Linked DNA regions of Danio rerio. The protein of the gene in region 1 interacts with the protein of each later gene in a pairwise test. Links are inferred from orthologs where the notes say so. Each region holds a gene or a part of one and is shown in the gene's direction. Other genes may lie near its edges.

Region 1 (6,837 bases):
CTGGTTAAATCCCAGCTCAGAGTGGGTTGGGTGGTGTTACATTGGTGCCTTGACACGGATGGGAGTGAGGTTGAGGGGGTGAGTGTAAAGGAGGCCAGCTAGTGAAGTGCTGTGCAGGTAAACTTAATTCTCTGACCTCTTCAGGTGCTCTAGCGACAGACGCTGAGGCCATTGTCTTTAGCCTCCTTGTTAGAGCAACCGACTCCTTTGCGAAGAGTTGCCAGTTCCATCCCAACTTGGAGCGGGTTTTGATGGCGTAGGACCGGCGGTGTAACATAAGCTTCTAAATACATAAGACCTGAAGAGTCTCTAACAATAATTAAGAATAAATTACTGTGCTAATGTCTAGGGGGCACTCAAGCGTAAGTCTTTTTTGCACAATACTGTGTATATATAACCTATGACAAAGCACAAAAAATCAAATAATTAATTCAAAGCCTAATCTAAAAGTAGCTAACTGTAGTTTCACAACTATCATGCTAAGTCTCACATTACATCACAATATTATTCAGTTTGTTAACTGTAAGTTTACACTTTCAGCTGTTTTATAATGTCCACAGACAGCGAGTGTTGTCGGAAGTGACACAGATTGAAGTAAAGTCTCGCGAAAGTGCGTGGTGGCCATTTTTCCTCCATTGATTGTTTTTGCTTACAGTCCAGCAAGAAAGAAAGTAACTCAAATTAAACCTGTATATGAGCCATTTAGAAAATAAATGGTTTCTCTGCTCAATAAAAAAATATATTGAAAAAGGCTAGAGAGACTGTTGTATTTCATCTAAAAACCACCTTATGACAGTATGAAAAACAAGCAATAGTAACGTACAAAATCGAAAACAAAGAAGAATCAAAAATGTATTTATGCGACACATTTATTATGAAGAATATAAACATTAAATAGAGAAAAATAGGTGAATTAATGATTTGAATTCGACATTATAACACGAAAAAAAAGTATTTGCAATGTTTGCAATGAATTTATAACGTTTAAAAAAACATCATTTTTTGTATCAAATGTGTCCAAAAAATGTAATCACAACCTTTTAACAACGTGAAACCAACATTTTTACAACGTTTTTGTGTGATGGGATGTCGTAATATCTAAAAAACTAGCTAACTGTAGTTAGCCTACATTAAAAAGTTGTTTACGCTAATTAGTAGCTTACTTGATTTTTGGAATCTGATTAGGATGAGAATTTTTGAAAAATAGTTATATTCTTCATTTCACTTTGAGTGTTGAAAAAAGAAGTGAACACGAAAGCACGCAGCACTCACGAAGGAGGCAAAGTTCACTTATAATGAAGATTTTTTTTCGACAGGCTAAAGTGTGACCTCAGATTAAGTTTAGTGTTTCACAACTATGCTAAGTCTCGCATTACATCACATTATTATTTAGTTTGCTAACTGTTAGTTTACACTTTCAGCTGTTTTATAATGTCCACAGACAGCGAGTGTTGTCGGAAGTGACGCAGATTTATGTGAAGTCTTGCGAAAGTGCGTGGCGGCCATTTTTCCTCCATTGATTGCTGTTTTTGCTTACAGTCCAGCAAGAAAGAAAGTAACTCAAATTAAACTGGATTACGAGCCATTTAGACAATAAATGGTTTCTCTGCTCAATAAAAAAATATATTGAAAAAGGCTAGAGAGACTGCTGTATTTCATCTAAAAACCACCTTATGACAGTACGAAAAACAAGTAATAGTAACGTACAAAATCGAAAACAAAGAAGAATAAAGAATGTATTTATGCGACACATTTATTATGAAGAAAATGAACATTAAATAGAGAAAAAAATAGGTGAATTCATGATTTGAATTCGACATTATAACACAAAAAAAGTATTTGCAATGTTGTGAAGTTCGAATTTATAACGTTTAAAAAAACATAATTTGTTGTATCAAATGTGTCCAAAAAATGTTATCACAACCTTTTAACAACATGAAACCAACATTTTTACAATGTTTTTGTGTGATGGGATGTCGTAATATCTAAAAAACTAGCTAACTGTAGTTAGCCTACATTAAAAAGTTGTTTACGCTAATTAGTAGCTTACTTGATTTTTGGAATCTGATTAGGCTGAGCATTTTTGAAAAATAGTTATATTCTTCATTTCACTTTGAGTGTTGTGAAAGAAGTGAACACAATGAAAGCAAGCAGCACTCACGAAGGAGGCAAAGTTCACTTATAATGAAGACATTTATTCGACAGGCTAAAGTGTGACCTCAGATTAAGTTTAGTGTTTCACAACTATCACGCTAAGTCTCGCATTACATCACAATATTATTCAGTTTGTTAACTGTCAGTTTACACTTTCAGCTGTTTTATAACGTCCACAGACAGCGAATGTTGTCGGAAGTGACGCAGATTGAAGTGAAGTCTCGCGAAAGTGCGTGGCGGCCATTTTTCCTCCATTGATTGCTGTTTTTGCTTACAGTCCAGCAAGAAAGAAAGTAACGCAGATTAAGCTGGATTACGAGCCATTTAGCCTAAAAGTAGTCTCCCCGACATCGACTCGTTTCTCCTAACACGCTCAGAATGCTGTCCCAAAGCCAATCGCAGGGCTCCTGTTGTTGACAGCGGACCGCGGCTGGATGATCAGATGGAAATGGTGCCCAGCGAAGAAAAGCAGCTTGTGCCCAAAGAGGTAAGAGATGATCGACCTCAAATAACACACACTCAAATCACACCATCTCCCTATTAAAAAAATCGCAATGTAAGCTAGAGAATCGCGTTTAAACGCAGCGGAGGAGAGACTGAAAAGTGCGTGTCAGGATTGTGAGTTGAGCGGCTAGCAGAGTGTTAGCTGTAGCTCAGCTAACTATCAGTCAACAAGTCCTTACAACAGATTGAATACGTTCATAACCAATATATACCGGAGATTTATGGAATTAGTAGACCTAATAACATGTTGTCATGTGTGCTGTGATGCTGTTTACTCTCTCCTCAGCCCGCAAAGTGTCCTGCAGGAGTGAGTTTTGGGAGGTGCTAAAGTGTGCGCCATAGTTTATGTTAGCAGCTCAGATTAGACTGCTTGATTTAATCCACATCGCATCATTTACATCACAGACATAATTCAGATTAGACTCGTATGCTTTATTTGAGGAATGATGACCCCTGCTTTGATATTTGAATGATGTCAACATCGGCCGAATGTGTTTTTTGTTACTATTGTTATTATAAATGACCAAAACAAACAAACAAAAAATCTTGTACAGTTTCAGTTTCAATGCACATTCTTTTTTAACGCGGATGTGTTTTAGATCTGACGGGAATAGAGTTTATCTTCCTCATCAACACTTGCATAACAAAATAATATTTTTAGTGACATTTGAACTCTCAATTTTCGAGATGCGTACTCTTTTTGGTCTTTATGCTAATGGTGATTTCATTTTTGAATGCTGTAAAACATGTTATATGTGGTAAAGTGTAAATCAATAAAGCAAGATCTTTTAAAAATTCTTAATGACGGTAACATTTGTATTCATGCAAAAAACAACAACAAAACATTGTAGCAACTGGTTGTTTGATTGGCTGATTTAAAACAACAAATAGGTGTAATGTATATACACACACGCAGTCGTATAGTTGAAGTCAGACTTATTATACAGAGCTAACCCCTTTTAATTTATTTTTCTTTTTTAAACATTTTTCAAATAATGTTTAACAGAGCAAGGAAATTTTCACAGTATGTCTGATAATTTTTTTTCTTCTAGAGAAAGTTTTATTTGTTTTATTTCAGCTAGAATAAAAGCAGTTCAAAATTATTAGCCCCGTTAAGTTATATTTTCTTAATGGTCTACAGAACAAAAGATCATTATACAATAACTTGCCTAATTACCCTAACCTGCCTAGTTAACCTAATTAACTTTGTTAAACCTTTAAATGTCACTTTAAGTTGTATAGAAGTGTCTTGAAAAATATCTAGTCAATTATTATTTACTGTGTTCATGGGAAAGATAAAATAAATCAGTTATTAGAAATGAGTTATTAAACTATTATGTTTAGAAATGTGTTGAAGAAATCTCTCCGTTAAACTGAAATTGGGGGAAAATATAAACGGGGGGCTAATAATTCATTGGGGCTAATAATTCTGACTTCAACTGTATATTCATAATCAAAACAATAATAAGACCATATGTATGCAGACATACATGCTATGACATTTACACAGCTTCATACATGAAGTGCACAATACAACATTTTTAGATCTTTCTGTTGCGCATACACTACTGGTCAAAGTTTGGGGTCTTTTTCTTTCATGTTTTTTTTATGAAAATTATTTTGTTTATCAAGGTGGCATTCGTTAAATGTAAAAAGAAACTGTTAAATATTTATTTAAAAATATTTAGATGTTACTTATTGTATGTACTTTTAAATGATATTATTAGTCCTTACATTATTGTTTTTATTACTATTACCATTATTATTATTATTAATAATAATAATAATAATAATAATAATAATAATAATAATAATAATAATAATAATAATACAATATATAATAATAATAATAATAATAATAAAAATAATAATCATAAAAACAACAACAACAACAATTATTATTAGAGTGATTTCTTAAGGATCATGCGACTCTGAAGACTGGAGTAACACTGGAGTGTGTGTGTGTGTGTGTGTGTGAAATTTTGAGAACAGTTTCCATCCAAAGGTGTGAATTAGACACAAAACTGGAATATGGCAGAAAATATTTGAAAGTAAAGAACTGTTTCCATCCATGTAGGCAATGACAATAAAATTGTGTCTTCATGATAAATTTGTTGCCAAATATCAAAAATAAATATTAAAATTGGCTACAGTAGGCAGTAGGGCTGCACAATATTGGAAAAATTAGTCATGACAATTTGGCAATATTTTTTTTTTCTCTGCGATTATATATTTTGTGATACAAATACATTTTCTCAAAGTCACTACTTTAGATTGACTGGGATGATTTTGCAGGGGAGTGAAATATAAATATATTTTTATGTAATTTATTATACACATATAATAAACAATAGAGGTGTGAACCTACACTGGTCTCACGGTTCGGAGAGAATGACAAGCCAGGAGAATAAAAACAAAGGAAGTGACCATTTTTAAATAGACAGCCGAGACATTACATTGTAATAACATATACATATAATAACGAGCCATGGTCGACCAAAGCTTAAACAAACCTCGTCGTCGTCTTGATGAACATCCACAAAACCAAGAAGAACGAAACCTGCTGTGCCTTGTTGTTGTTTTACGAGGCCGACTAATAGCGCGAGTGGTTTCACTTTCTCCAGGGAGCTCAGTTGTGCGTCTATATTTGAAATAACTAACTTATTCAGCAGATGATGATAAAAACGTACGCTTGATTCTTGAAGTGCTTACCATCGGTACCCTTTTGATAGTAGAAACACATGCCTGATAAAGGTGACCCGTACCGTAACACTCAGTGGAAACGGGTCGTTAGAGTGATAGTTCATCCAAAAAATGAAAACTTGCTCACTATTTACTCACCCTCAAGTGGTTTCAAACATTCATGAGCTAATTTATTTCTTAATAAATTTGAACTACCTCTTTAAAATCAAAACTTTACATAATATTCCAAAATGTACATAAAATAGGTGGATGGAAACATAGCTACAGTGATTTAAATGCAAAACCTTTTAAAACCACAATGTAAAATCTTGTTTTTTAGTACATTGTTATAACATAAACATCCTTGTAGTATGAACTTAATTCTTTATCAGTGTTTTTTATTTTATCAAGGGCTGTTTATGTTGTCACTGTTGGTGCTGTGAGTTCACCGGTGAGCGTCAGGGGTTCAGACTAAATTTAGAATGGGATTAATCCGTTCAAATGGGCGACAATATAAAAAGTCATTTTGAATTTAGCCTGAAATAAATGATTGTTTTTGACCCCATTTGATCTTACAAGTTGTTCTGCGGGACTGCTAATGGTAACTGTCTAGTGCCAAGGTGTAAGACCTCCTTTGGTCAATCTGTCTTCTCTGTAAAGGGAGCCAAACAGTGGAATGATTTACCTTTTAGCCTAAAATCAGAAAGTAATATAAATATGTTTAGTAGTGTTCTTAAAAAGTGGTTAAAAACAAAACAGCAGTGCTTGCACAAATAGTGTAATGTTAGTTTGTTGAATCATGTTGCCTTTGCTTTTGCCTTCAGTAATTATATGTAAATATTTATAATGTTGTGTAAATGTATTTATTAGGGATGAAACATTACAGTTAGCCCACGGTTCAATATATACCTTGGTTTTTTAACATGGTGTTTGGTTCGGTTCTCATGGCTTGACACATGTTTTTTTATTTATTCTGTAGGCAATAGGAACAGTAAGAGGTTAAGGAGAGAAAAAAATAAACACGATTTATTGCAATACTTATTTTGTTTAACTTAAAAGCCAAGAAAAGTACACTAGTTCCTAGTGTATTGTATATATAAAAAAAATTAACACTGAAATCTTACTGCTGCTGGTAGCCCATGTACAAACAGGGGAACATACAAAATCCTACATTTTGAAAATAAACATACATGTGAAGTTAATAAAGATAAATTGGCCATTTCAAATAAACATATTTGTACTTAAATAAACATAAATAAACCATCTTAGTTATCTCGGTGCTGAAAAAATGCGAGACTGTGGTAACGCGGATCGAGTGCTTTTATAAGATGACAAAAGTCTGCATCTCTAATCACCAAAAATAGCTGCAAATCTGTAGCAATAAACACCCGCTCTGCCTTTGTTATTTTTATGTGTCTCTCGGAACTAGTTGGATATGTTTGCTTGAGAGATTCAGCGAGGGATTGTTGCTGTTTGGAGGGCTTTATTACCTTCTCT
Region 2 (6,839 bases), on another chromosome or scaffold:
ATAATGACCCTGCCAGAATAACATCTTATTCATCTCCCATTCCTTTCTGCATTCTCCTTTTACTGCAGTCATTCAGATAAATTGATAAATTGACAGGCCATTTTGAATATTAAAAGATACAGAAACGTCCTAAACATAGAAATACAGTATGTCCTGGGCTAAAGATGTTTTATATGTACATGTGATGGTAGTTTTGTGTTGTGAACTCATAAAGAGCTTCTGAAAAGTGTAAATGAGTCTGCCCTATAATTGCTCCTTCTCACACACACAAAGTTCTGCTGCAAGGAGACATGTTTGGGATAGCTTTGTTGAACAGTGATGGACAGTTTATATTTAACTTTTACAGTTTATAGATAACTTTGTCCTTTTTATGTATGCATCTAGTGACACCATGCCTTGTTTATGGTTTGTTCTGATGTTTACAGTTCATAATGTTTTCATATATCAGCAGACAGAGCCCCATTATTCCATATCTTAATCTGCTTTTGTTAGTGTGCACCAAGGTTGAAATGTGAACACAACTTATATGAACTCAATTATGACCAACTGCTCAAATGATTTGTCTAGGCAGCCAAGGGGTATTCAGTTCTGTCTTACTGTTCTCAGGCCCATAGTCAGGGGGGGTTTGGGTAGTTCGAAAGACCTACTCCCCACTGACAACGTCCAGAATTTGGCCCCTATATGAGCTAATTTATCCCATTTTTTTTACTGCTATGGCATCATAAATTGTGAAAATAACTTCGAAGAAGAAGAGTTTTTAATTATTCAAATGGCCAAGTTTTGACTGAGGAAAGTTGAATTAGCTGGCCAGTTTGTCATCTGCCTACAGGCAACAGTTTTTTAACTTAAAACAAGTTTTATCAGATTCCTAATATTTTTAAATAATGAATGGTAATAATGTTATACTTTAAGAAAGTATTTTTTCATATTTCATTATCAAATGTTTCATTTAAAATTTTAATCTCATAACACTATTTATAAAACTGTAACTGTACTTGGTTTAAATGCACAGTTGCAAATAAATACTTTGTAGTAAAATAGTATGGTAGGCACTTTAATAAAATTGTAGGAGAGCAATTCCATGCAAATGTCAATCATGTCAAGAAAAAAAAAAACATTTTCACCACAATAGCGAAACACTTTCTAGATTTTTTTTTGTGTAGGCTTGTATTTAACATTAGTGTAAAAATACTCAAAATGTTTCTGTCAATGCTTTCAAACAATATTTAATTGGCCAAAGTCACACAAGTGGCAATATCACACCTGTTACATCCATAATGGAGAAGCATCGGATCCATAAAGAAAAAAAAAAGCTTATTCCTCATAAATCCAAAATATGTAAAGTTAAATAAAATCAATCATTTGTCTTCTATCAAGCCAACCCATGGTTTTAATTAGCTTTATTTATTTTAGGTTGTGCAGTTTAATTCACAGAATTAGTAGGTTATTAGTTCACTAAAATGTATGTTGTATTCTGTAAAGTTTTTGGTCACATCCATAACGCATGTTTATTTTCCCTATTTAAAATACAAAAAACGTTTACAGACTGATATTTTTTCTGATCCCATAAATCTGTGGTTAGTTCTTTGAAAAATAAAAACAGATGTTTCAATATAATGTTCACATACAGTTTATCTGTGTATTTATGTTTTTTTACTGATAATGTCACATACATAACGCTGGAATTGCTTAGGAACTATTTTTGGTAGATCAAAAACTGTGGTTAGGATCTGACAAGCTAATCTGTCACTAAAATGTAACATTATGTAAACCTTACAACTGAATAGAAAATGAGGTGATTAACTGCAAAATTGTTCACTTTTTTTAGAGAAAAGAACCACCTTTTTCAATAGAGTGGCTAATGGACCTGTATTTTTTTTTTTTTACTTTTACTTTTTCATATAGATTAAAACATTTTACAGAAGAAAACTTTTAGTTCAATTTAAAACATTTAGTTCAATTTAAAACATTTAGTTCAATTTAAGTTAGGCAGTCATATATTCCATTCTATATATGGATTTAAGATTTTCTGTCCACTGTGCTATTGTTGGAGGATGTGGCTTCATCCAATTTATTGTCATAGTCTTTCTTGCAGTTGGTAAAAATATATGTAGTAAATATCTCTGGTTTTTATAGTATATATCCTGGGGTCTTACATCAAGCAAGAAAATCAAAGGAGTAAAAGGTAGATCTAACTGCATAATGTTCATTGATCTTGGACATTCCCTACGTATTTATGTTTTATGTTTATACTGAAAATGTCACATCCATACCCCATGACTGAATGGAAAATTAGGTGATTTACTGCAAAAAGGTCTACTTTTTTGAAAAAAAAGAGCCACCTATTTCAATAGACTGGCCACGACTTTAAGACGTTTAATTTAACACCGCGGTTAAGTTGGTTTTGTTTTCGATATTCCTGACAGATTCGGTGATAATCGGCAATAACTCAAAAAACTCTTACCCTAAAAAGATCTAAAGTGTGTTTCCTACAAAAAAACGTTACCGAGAAACACGTCTCATACGAAAAATTACCATGGTTTTATTACAGTAGAAGTTAACCATGTTTTGGTGTATTGTTTATTTATAACACAGCTGCAAATATGGTATTTTAGTCCAGCAAAACTTGTGTTTAACATGGTTTAACTACGATAACCGTCGTTTTCGCTTGGGTGGTTTATTTTCGTACGTTAAGTCGTTTAAGATACCAGCGTGTTCGACATGTTTTTACCTCACAAACGGCTTCATCCATCTATTTCGCGCCGTCTGCCATCCTGTTACTTCCTCTCTTGAATAAAAACGTACATAAATGCAGAGTAATAAAGATACAAGTTTGCTTCGCTCATGTTCATGATGCCAAGAAGCAGCTCTTATTCCAGCTCAATAGATGGCAGTAAGCGGTACTGTTAACTCACGTATGACCTCACGAAGAAGAAAAACCCGGCTGTTTACAGTCATGACGGCATAGTCCTGCACTATTTGAGACCTAAACGGGTTTATTTTGTCCCTTTAAGAATTCAAATAACAGTGAATGAGGAAACTTGTTGAAGAAATGAATGAATGAGGACATTTGTTTAGACATATTTCTGAATGTAAGTGACGGCAGAAGAAGAGCGGGGTGATTTTTAACAAACATCCTTTTAATAAAGGTAATCCCGTGTGCTGGAGAAAATGATCAGTCAAATTTTCATCTTGTCATCAAAAGGAGATCATCTCATATATAAAGACTGTATCCTTCCCACGGGCTTGTGTGATGTGATGTGTTTATAACTGTCTGATATCGAATCTTGTGTTTATATGCACGGATCTTCATGTAATCAGAGCTATCTCTATTAGATCAGTGGTCATATGACATTAAATGTATGCTTCCTGCTTATGATTTTCTTAATTCTGCATATCAGTCCGAGGAGAGGCCAGTAAAGACTCAATAAATGTCTTCTATGAGATGGTCACAGCTCTCAGTGGAGATCAGCCTCCTGTTGTCATGGTAGGCTACAGTTATGTTTTTTTGATATACACAACAACATTGTGATTGTTTAGTGTATTACATGAACTAACACTGACTGTTTATCTTGCTGTAGACACACAAAGATCTTCATTTTATCCATGTAAGGCAGGGTGGACTGTACTGGGTGGCATCAACCAAAACAAACCCTTCCCCTTTCACCATAATTGAGTTCCTTAACAGGTTAACAAATATAATTTTTGGATCAGTAATGTGATAATATGATTTTCTTTAGGTGTGCAGATTGCATGATGATAAGTGACTGTTTTGTGTCTCCCAGATTAGCAGCTCTTACAAAGGACTACTGTGGCAGTTTGTCAGAAAAATCAGTGAGGATGAATTTCGCACTAATTTATGAGCTGCTGGATGAGATGGTGGTAAATGTTCTCTCTGTTTGCATATTTATTTTTCTCAGACCAAATGAATTAGACTTAGAAGCAACCCAATTCTATGTATAATTTCCTCTGTGTTTCTGATCAACAGGATTTTGGCTACGTACAGACAACCTCAACTGACATACTGAAAAACTTCATCCAGACAGAAGCTGTTTCATCCAAACCCTTCAGTCTCTTTGACCTCAGTAATGTTGGATTGGTAAATTGTTGCATTTCTTTTGAATATTTTGCGTCTGTTTACTCAATATTTCAAAAAACTGTGTAATGCGATTCAGGTAAATCTTGAAAGTAATTTGCTTTTAAGAACTGACTAATAAAAAAAAACATAAAACACTATTGTTTGTTTTTTTTATCTTGAAAAGTACAAATATTAACTTTTTTTCTTATTTTGTAGTTTGGGGCTGAGACACAGCAGAGTAAAGTGGCTCCAAGTGTTGCAGCCAGTCGTCCTATAATGTCCAGTCGAGGAGAGCAGGTGAGTTTTCCTAGTTTCTTCAGTTTTACATCTAATCTGTGATGATCATAAAATATTATTATGAATCATAAACACGACTGTTCTAAAATATGATATAAATATGCATGCAGGATGTTATTTTGTGTCAAAACATAGGTAGGTCAAATAGTGTTAATAAGACTAATTCATAGTCGCAGCATGTTAAAATACATTAGCCATATAAATAGTCTGGAAACATGGTAGTATCAGCACACTAATCCATGATAGTACCATATTTAAACACATAATTCATGTGTTAAACATGCTGGAAACTTTCTGTTAGTTTATTAAGTAATGCTAGTATAGTGTAAAAACATACCAATTTATGCTAGCACCATGTTAAAACATGTCAAACATGTGTTAAACATGCTGTAAACGTTCTAACAACATTTTAATTTTAATGAAAGTTGGTAGCACAGTATTACAAAATGCTAATTCACATTTTTGTGATTTGAAAAATGGTTGGCTAGTTTTAGCTGGTCTGACCAGCCTGGTTTTATAGAGGGGTTTTGGCCACTTCCAGGCTGGTTTCCATCCATTTACAGCCTGGTCTTAGCTGGTCAGGCTGGGAGATGACCAGCTAAAACCAGCTTGACCAGCCAATCTAAACTGGGAGTCCAGAAAAAAACAGCTACGTCCAGCTTAAACCAGGCTGGTCAAGCTGGTTTTAGCTGGATTGGTTGGTCATTTTCCAGCCTGACCAACTAAGACCAGACTGGAAATGGCTGTAAATCAGCTTGGAAATTGCCAAAACCCCTCTAAAACCAGGCTGGTCAACCAGCTAAAACCTGCCAACCAGTCTAGGCTGGTTTAAGCTGGATTTTTTAGCAGGGGCAGCATGTTAAAATATGTTAGCCATGTATTAAATAGTGTGGAAACAAAAGCAACATATTAAGCAATGCTAGCACAGTGTAAAACATACTAATTCATAATAGCACCTTGTTAAAACATGTTAGCCATGTGTTAAACATGCTGGAAACATGCTAACAACATATTAACTAATGGGGGTATAGTGTAAAACATACAAATTCATGCTAGCTGCATGTTAGCCATGTGTTATACATGTTGTAAACATTCTAACAACATATTAATTAATGCGGGTATAGTGTAAAAACATACTAATGCATGCTAGCTCCATGTTAAAATGTTGGCCATGTGTTAAACATGATGGAAACATTCCATTAACATAAATTAGTACTAATGTAGTGTAAAAACATACTAATGTGTGCTATCATCACCATGTTAAACTTGTTAAAAAATTCATGCTAGCTCCATGTTAAAACATGTTAGCCATGTGTTGGAAACCTGCTAGCAACATATCAGTTAAAGCTAGTACAGTGTAAACATGCTAATTCATGTTAGCGCCATACTAATACATGCTAGTCATGCTTTCTAGCATGTTAATGAATGTTAGCACAGTATTACAAAATACTAATTCACGTTTTTGCCATTTAAAACAATAACAACATGCTAATCAATATTAGCATAGCATAAAAATGTACCTACGTTTGTCTTTCTGGCTGCAGGGGGGAAAGAATGAGATCTTTGTGGATGTGATAGAGAGGCTGTCTGTGGTTATTGGCTCCAATGTAAGTAAAGCTCAATGAATCATGGCTTGACATTAAACTACTGATCATTTAGATTTTTCACACGTTTTTCTTCTTTTCAGGGAGTTTTAATGAAATCAGATATTCAGGGAGAGATTAGGATAAAATGCTTTCTTCCAACCTGTTCAGGTGAGTTTGCTACAGATTCAATTCAAGTTAATATATATAGCGATTTTACAATGTAGATTTTGTTAAAGCCGCTTGACATAGAAGTTCTAGTAAAGTCTAGATTTCATATTGCGGTCCATGCCAATGCAGATTGTAAACGGATCTTCACTTCTATGATTGTGTATCACTCTTGTAGAGATGCGGATTGGACTGAATGAAGAGCTCAATATTGGAAAGTCGCAGCTGAAAGGTTGAATATGCAAAACTGGTCAATATAATATTTGCATACACATCTCTAGAGGCTGTGTATCTTTAATTACAACTGTTTAAATCTGTTTCTTTAGGCTATAGTTCAGCTGTACGTGTGGATGAGTGCAGATTTCATCAGGCAGTAAAACTGGATGAATTTGATACTTTCCGAATATTAAAAGTCTGTCCAAGCCAAGGAGAGGTACATTTTTGAAACACAGACTAATGTTCTTTAGAATAATTCCCGCATGGACCGTTTGTGATTTTTTTTATTCTTCTTTAGCAAACAATAATGCAGTATCAGCTGTGTGATGAGCTGCCGTGTGCACCACCATTTCAGTTATTCCCCTCTGTAGAGAAGGATTATGTGAACAGGTGGGTAAACTGATTAATGAAATGTTGTTCGTTTTTATTTAATGCATACTTGTGAACTTCATTTTAAATACAGGTAGGTTTTAATTACTTGTTTCTTTAAAAAGCAT

The links.
Region 2: the proteins of usp47 (region 1) and ap4m1 interact in binary tests that used the Homo sapiens proteins (3 or more experiments, as listed by UniProt). The two-hybrid records come from large-scale screens. The link is inferred for Danio rerio from reciprocal best matches to the Homo sapiens genes USP47 and AP4M1.

The regions. Positions count from the first base shown.
Region 1 is NC_133182.1:70,815,488-70,822,324, forward strand, and holds the start of usp47 (ubiquitin carboxyl-terminal hydrolase 47), read left to right. Parts: upstream 1-2,397; 5' UTR 2,398-2,596; coding exon 2,597-2,641; intron 2,642-6,837. UniProt on the Homo sapiens protein: Ubiquitin-specific protease that specifically deubiquitinates monoubiquitinated DNA polymerase beta (POLB), stabilizing POLB thereby playing a role in base-excision repair (BER). Acts as a regulator of cell growth and genome integrity.
Region 2 is NC_133185.1:27,748,943-27,755,781, forward strand, and holds the start of ap4m1 (AP-4 complex subunit mu-1), read left to right. Parts: upstream 1-2,934; 5' UTR 2,935-3,171; coding exon 3,172-3,229; intron 3,230-3,401; coding exon 3,402-3,487; intron 3,488-3,581; coding exon 3,582-3,688; intron 3,689-3,785; coding exon 3,786-3,882; intron 3,883-3,988; coding exon 3,989-4,099; intron 4,100-4,294; coding exon 4,295-4,375; intron 4,376-5,919; coding exon 5,920-5,982; intron 5,983-6,062; coding exon 6,063-6,129; intron 6,130-6,304; coding exon 6,305-6,358; intron 6,359-6,452; coding exon 6,453-6,559; intron 6,560-6,640; coding exon 6,641-6,732; intron 6,733-6,839. Other genes in the region: and3 (actinodin3 precursor), read right to left, coding at 2,732-2,752. UniProt on the Homo sapiens protein: Component of the adaptor protein complex 4 (AP-4). Adaptor protein complexes are vesicle coat components involved both in vesicle formation and cargo selection. They control the vesicular transport of proteins in different trafficking pathways.